Linked DNA regions of Caenorhabditis elegans. The protein of the gene in region 1 interacts with the protein of each later gene in a pairwise test. Each region holds a gene or a part of one and is shown on either strand. Other genes may lie near its edges.

Region 1 (3,757 bases):
GGCGACGGCCCCCAACGACCCGGAGTTTTGAGCTGAGTTTGTTTGCCAGACATCTGTCCCCGGACCGCCGTAAGGTCGTCGTAGGGCCTCTCCTGCTTTACCTGTGATGTGAGTGCGGAGGCCTGGTCTGCCAGTCCGCCGCGACGGGTATGCGACAGACCAAAGACCTATGAGATGGTTTTACATAGTCCAGTAGGAAAAACTTTGTCAACTACTAGTTTTTAGTAAAACTGGAACCTTGAGAGTAGCTGGTTGGAAACAAGGCGACGACTACCAGCATGAAGGGTGGTAGGAAGGATATTGGGGTTGTCATGAACTGGAAATTTTGAAGATTTACCTTCAATTTCCATTATCCTGTACCTGCATAATCAAACTTCTCAGCGCAACCTTATGCCTGCTCAGTGTCCCCTTCGATAGGCGACTTTTAACATCTGATAGAACTTTAAACATTCGAAGTACTAGAAGAGATATCACAATGATCGTCTTTAAGGTTCCAGCAGCAGTGAGCACTAGGAATATAATAAAAATATATGCACTGTTGAAGTATGTGTAATAAAATTCATTAAGCTGCTGATACTTCGGGACCAGCGACGGATGGTCTTGACTAATCAACTTCCATTGATCTTCTTTACTAGTCTCGCTGAAGTACCATGCGAGTGTGATAGCCAGTGAGTAGGACATGCATAAATGGTAGATTATAATATAGGTTAGGCTACTTGACGGGTTTGATAAAGTTTTCAGCTGCATGATTGCCTTGTACTTGCGGAGGAAGCATATTGTGAGAACCTCGATTTGACCGCTAAGGAGTAATGTGAATAGGGTCTGAAAGTTTGGCTTTGTTGTTTGACTGTTAATTGCTCAAAATGCTTACAAATAGCGTATGCGTGCTCCAGCCAAACCAACGTGACATAAACCCATGCCCATATCCAGAGAACAGTGGAAATAGTGGAATAGGCTGGAATAGGAAGGCAATGTTCACGTCAGATGCCGTACAAGATACCTGGAATTTTTCAAAGATTTTTTTGAACATACAAATATTTTGTTTAAGTTACCTGAAAAGCCAGCAAATAAAATCGAAAGTTGTCTAGCTTGCCGCTTTGAAACAACAGAAGGTATATGACTAATAAGTTGAGTAGTAATGCAATTGTACCCGACACGTAATAGTGATTAATCAAATGCTCGGGGACCTCGAAGTCAATATTCAAGCTTTCTGACATGTTACTAGAAGGAGTGTGCTCAAAATTGGCAGGAAAAATGAGGAGATTGATTGTTTGGGGGCTCAGCATAAGACATATGTTAAAAAGTCACCTGTCAATATTAATATTAACATCACATTTCTAGATATGATCGAACAATGTTAAGAACAAAGAAACATGAACCACATAATTTCTTGACCAATCACCGCTCGGCCACGCCCACGTTTGCACCAATCAGCGACTCTCAGCACTTTCTGATCTTTGAGTATAATCTATAAGCGGTGGAGATCAAGATTTTATGTTAAAATCTTCAGGAATTTCATTTTTTCGTATCAAACTCACATTGCCTGTCTTGTTCCATGGTTCTGTCATAGGACCCCAAAAGAAGCAACTTGGATTTGAGCCGTTGTAACTCTAAAACGGTAAAAGCTGGTAAAAGTAAAATGTTAAAAGTTGTCAACTAATAAAATATTCATCACATTTTAATAAACATTTCCTGTAACTCTAAAATGGGAAGAGTTATCAAAAAGTTGTCAACTAACAAATTATTCATCACATATTTTTAAGCATCTTGTTAGTTGACAACTTTTTGCTAGCACGTTTTGTTTCAGGGATAAAGGAGATCAAAGGTTTTTTCTGAAATCTGCAATTTTATATTATTATATCTATTATTTTATTATTATATCTATATATTTATAATCTTATATCTAGATTAAAACTGATTTCCGATCACTATCCTGATTTTTTGATAACTATGCGACAATGCTACGAAAATCTCTCCTCTAATCAGTCCGACGTCACAACGAAACTAGAGACATAGAGGAATCAAAGATATCCTGTCCTGCCTGCTTTTCGATTTTTTATATCATTAAATCCTTGAGAAATTTTTCATCTTGATCTCCTCTTCCGTGATTTGATCTGATTCATTCCATTAAACATGTCGTCTTCCTTAGTCTGTTGGCTAAGCTTTTCGGTTCTATTGTTAATTGCTAAAAATTCAGAATCTTGTTTCGCTACTCAGACTCCACAGCAGCCAATTGTGACAAGTACGGTGGCTCCGGCAGGTAAGTCGATTTTCTTAAGTTTAGGCCTAGGCTTAGGCTTAGGCTTAGGCTTTGGTTCAGGCTTAGGCTTAGGATTAGGCTTGGGCTTAGGGTTAGGCGTAGGCTATGGTTTAGTCTTAGGCTTAGGCTTAAGCTTGGCGTCAGTGGCGAGCGTTAGCTCTGACGCTATTTAGGCTTGGGTTTATAGCGTTTTTTTGATTTTTCAAAGGGTTTTAGACTTAGGTTTAGGTTGAGGCTTAGGCTTAGGATTGGGCTTAGGCTAAGGCTTTGACATAGGTTTAGACTTAGTTAGGCTTAGGGTTAGGCTTGGGCTTTGACTTAGATTTAGGCTACGGCTTAGGCTTAATTTTGGACCATTTTTCAACTTTCAGGGGATTTCCAGTGAAAAAAATTTGTGAAAATGTATTAAAATATTCCAAAAAAATCCGAAAAATATCCGAGAAGCCAAAAAAAACTTTCAGAACCAGCATGCTCTCCGGACACACTTGTTCTTGGACAAGGAGACAATCAAAACCCCGAAGTCGCCATCGATGTTACACATTCAGCAGTTACAACTACAGCCGGTACCTCCTCAATGACAATTACTTGCTCTGGAGCCACTGACTTCAATGTGCAAATGGAGCTTAATGGAGCCTTCACACCAGCCGAGAACGACCAGGATCCACTACCCCAGACAGTTACTATCAATGCTCAGTGTAATACCGCCGATATGAAATGGAACTACGTGACTGTGATCAATGGTGAAACGTTCACCGAACCTCTCGACAGTGTGACCTGCCTACAAGTTCAGAATTTGCCGGGAGAGGGGCCGGATCCGGAGCCGGTGGCATGTGATCCGGCGTTGATTACTTATGGAGTTGGAGACGATCAAACCCCTGAGGTCGCCATCGATGTTACACATTCAGCAGTTACAACTACAGCCGGCGTCTCCTCAATGACAATCACTTGCTCTGGAGCCGACGACTTCAACGTGCAAATGGATCTGAATGGAGCCTTCACCCCAGTGGAAAACAATCTGGACCCACCTCCCCAGACGGTTACTATAAATGCTCAGTGCAACACTGCAGATATGATATGGAACTACGTGACAATGGTGAATGGACAGCCATCCACACAGGCGCTTGACAGTGTGACCTGCCAACAAGTTCAGAATTTGCCGGGAGAGGGACCGGATCCGGAGCCGGTGCCATGTGATCCGGCGTTGATAACTTATGGAGTTGGAGACGATCAAACCCCTGAGGTCGCCATCGATGTTACACATTCAGCAGTTACAACTACAGCCGGCGTCTCCTCAATGACAATCACTTGCTCTGGAGCCGACGACTTCAACGTGCAAATGGATCTGAATGGAGCCTTCACCCCAGTGGAAAACAATCTGGACCCACCTCCCCAGACGGTTACTATAAATGCTCAGTGCAACACTGCAGATATGATATGGAACTACGTGACAATGGTGAATGGACAGCCATCCACACAGGCGCTTGACAGTGTGACCTG
Region 2 (3,662 bases), on another chromosome or scaffold:
TGGTCTCACCATTACCTTCCAAAATTGTTTGGAATTTTGTCATTCGTGTGTAATCCAATTTTCATTTGCTTGATAGCCACCGAAAAGAAGGCTTCGATCGGGAAGTATCGATATCTTTTGATAGGGTTTGCAATTTTTGATATGGCTTACTCAACTGTAGAGCTAATCGTTCCCGTAGCAATTCATGGTACTGGGGCAGCTTTTGTGATTTACCTAGCTGACGGACCATTTTTTGGGGTGAGTTTGAAAGCTCTACACACCAAATGATTGAACTTCAGACTGGGAAGCTTGGCCAACTAGCTGTCTCAATTCGATGTGGGTGTATTTCTCTTTCATATGGAATCCTTGTCATTCACTTTATCTATCGGTATCTTGTGCTATTTAAGTGAGTTTTATTTTTATTTTTCACGTAAATCCGAAAATTTAAAAATTATAGCACCCGAATAATCGATCGACTTCTCCGGCCGTCCGGGCTATTTGGTCTCTTTGTATTTTTTGTTTTTCACGGAATAGCTTGGAGTTCTGTCTGCGAGATGTGTCTCTATGGAGATCAAGAAGTGTTCGACTACATCTATGACGCTTTTCAAAAAGATTACCATGTGGATTCACATGATTTATCCATGCTAATGGCATTGTTTTTCGTGAGGCTCGAAAAGAGCAAAGAACCAACACTAACCCCTTAAAATTTTAGGATGCAAGTCCCGAGATCAAAAGAAGAAGCTGGATTGGAATTCTGCTGCTGACTGGAATTTCGATATATGCAATTTCTCTATACGTTATTCTTGGATGGAAGATTATGAAAAAGCTGGCGGATAATCCAGGGGTTTCTGCAACGACTCAGAAATTGCATAGACAGTTATTCAAAGCCCTTGCAGTTCAGGTATACATGTTTTTAAAGAGTTCAGAAAAAAATTGTTTAACTAAACATTTTCAGACTTTCATCCCGATCTGCATCAGCTTCTCCCCTTGCATGATGGCCTGGTACGGTCCTGTAATCGGATTGGATCTCGGAATGTGGAACAATTATTTGGGCGTCATTGCACTGTCAGCGTTCCCTGTTCTAGATCCACTTGCTATCATTTTCCTCCTACCCAACTACCGGAACAAGCTTTTTCGCACTGTGAAAATGCCAATCAAATACTTTTATTCTGGAACATCGACTGTCCGACCCAACGTGGATAATTCAGCTCAAGTTTATTGAAAGTTTGAGGAAAAGTGTTGTCCAAGTTGTTATAAAATTTCTTATTTTTTTCCATAAATATTTTTCGCAACGTTCTTTTTTAATCAATGTGAAAGAGTTTTATTTGCATTTCTCGAAATACATGTTTGCTTTATAGATTTTTTCAATAGCCTGCGGACATTTTCAACGTGTCCCTCTTTTCTTACCAAGTTTGCAGACAGCTTACACTTTCTTCGTTTTTTTTTGGTTTTTAAAAACAAATTATTCTCAATTTAGTACTGTAACTTTTTGAACAACTTAGCACTTTTATAACAATGTCGTTAAGTTTGAGTTGGGATGATAGTTCTAGAAAATTATTTTGTCAAGTTTGGAGAATTCTTGTCGATGGGATTATTTTTGATCAATTACAGGAAAAAACCGTATAGAAATTTAAAATCAACACATAAACCTTACTAATTTACAGTTCACAATCGCGTCACACCCCTAACCCGATTATATTTTCGGTTTTTATTGCCGAAAATACAACAACACATGTATGAATTCGTATAGTTGCCCTCTATTATAATATTTTTGCATTTATGTTTTCCCAAATTCTCAAAAGTTTTATTTTTTCAAATTTACCGGAATCATAAAATTTACGTTTTTCTAATTTGGTTTTTCTAATTTATAGACCACTTCGATGACACTCAAGCTCACATACTTTGACATTCGTGGGCTCGCGGAGCCCATTCGGCTCTTGCTCAATGACCAGGAAATCCCATTTGAAGATAACCGTATCAGCCGAGAAGAGTGGGCCGAAATGAAGTCAACCATGGTGATTCATAATTTTTGAAACTATAAAAGTAGAATTTTCCAGATTTTCGCTCAATTGCCGTGTCTTCATATCGGAACTGAAACGATTGTCCAGTCAGCAGCGATTCTTCGTCATCTTGGACGGATTTATGGTGAGCAATCAGAAAATTTACAGTTTTGAAATAAAAAATTCATTCGAATTGATGAAAAAGAAAAAGCCTGTCAAATTGCTTATTAATTGTTTTGATAAATGTTTTGTTTTGAAAAAATCGTTTTTTTTGAGTGAAAATTTTTTTGATTTTCTCAAAATAAAAATTTTCAAAAAAACTTGCAGAATGTATACATCCGAAATCGTATAAAAATTATCTAAAAGTAGTCTTTTGGAGCAATTCTAAACGTCGTCAAATTAGTCAATAAATTGTTTTAAACTTTTGGCTTTATAGTTAGCTCTTCTAGGCTGACTTAATGCGTTTTTGATTACAATTTTTTTTTGATCTCAAAATATCAGTTGGAGAAAATAACGAAAAATATATTAACAATTGTTTTCCCGGCTGTTGAGTTAACATTTTGCAAATCTTATTTAAAATTCAATACAAAAAGAAAAAAAAACAACATCTAAAATTTCTCAGGACTCAATGGCTCCACTGAATCAGAGACCTCATTCATCGATATGTTCTCCGAAGGGCTCCGCGATCTACGCACCAAATATTTCACAATGATCAAGACAGACTACGAAGATGGCAAAGAAGCATACATAACTGAAACTCTTCCCGGGGAGCTACTACGAATTGAGAAGTTGTTCTGCACATTTAACAACGGCGAAAACTTTGTGTCCGGGGACAAGCTGAGCTATGCAGATTATGCTCTATTCGAGCTTCTCGATATTCACCTCATCCTCACACCAACTGCTCTAAATGGCACCCCAGCACTGAAAAGATTTCATGGACGATTTGCAGAGCGGCCCAATATGAGACTGTATTTGAATAAACGGGCCGAACTAAATCCATTCGTCAGTGGAAATGGGAAACAATAAAACTTTCGGATTTTTTTGTGTTAAATTAATTTTGCAATACTAATAAAACTTGTTTCAAATAACTATTGTTTCAAAAAGCAAAACTCAACTGTGAAACCATTTTCAAAAAATGAGCTATCAAAATTTCGAGTACTTAAAAATTAAATTTTTTTAAAGTTTTTTGAATTAACTTATCAAAGTCTATAGGTTTCACGATAACCTACTGCATATAAAACATTGGGTCCTGACACGAAAAACCAATGTAGTAGGAGTAAAACGTTGTTTGAAAATTAATACAGGTGCTGTTTATGAATCAGACCCTGGAGAATACAGATAACACCCACCTCAAGTCTGCTCAATGACGCTATCACACATGGAGGACTTTTTCGACCCTTTTCAGTGTGTTCCTTTGCAAAAACGGAGTTACCATAGCAGACAAATATTCAAGTCACAAAACACATAGTGCCCCAACCCCAAAGGAGTATACTATTTTACGAGAACTCGGCATTTATAAGAAAAACAAGAGGGGAAAACACTTCTACATCTCTTCATCGAGAAGATCCCATTATTTTTCAATACAACTATGATATATATGAACTGGTACCATCAAAATGTTCCCAAAATTTTGGGAGCACTAAGCTTCCTGGTGAACCCAATATTCATATATTTGGTAGTGAC

What was found. Proteins that work in one complex are often made in the same cells at the same time.
Region 2: the proteins of B0454.8 (region 1) and gst-23 interact in a two-hybrid assay, tested with the Caenorhabditis elegans proteins (one large-scale study listed by BioGRID).

What each region holds. Positions count from the first base shown.
Region 1 is NC_003280.10:3,041,783-3,045,539, reverse strand, and holds the start of B0454.8 (C6 domain-containing protein), read left to right. Parts: upstream 1-2,081; 5' UTR 2,082-2,133; coding exon 2,134-2,260; intron 2,261-2,721; coding exon 2,722-3,757. Other genes in the region: sri-29 (Serpentine Receptor, class I), read right to left, coding at 238-316, 361-822, 872-1,000, 1,053-1,217.
Region 2 is NC_003283.11:3,241,436-3,245,097, forward strand, and holds gst-23 (Glutathione S-transferase), read left to right. Parts: upstream 1-1,848; 5' UTR 1,849-1,859; coding exon 1,860-1,994; intron 1,995-2,036; coding exon 2,037-2,124; intron 2,125-2,601; coding exon 2,602-3,005; 3' UTR 3,006-3,067; downstream 3,068-3,662. Other genes in the region: srj-11 (Serpentine Receptor, class J), read left to right, coding at 1-237, 279-385, 437-641, 692-880, 935-1,201; srj-7 (Serpentine Receptor, class J), read left to right, coding at 3,568-3,662.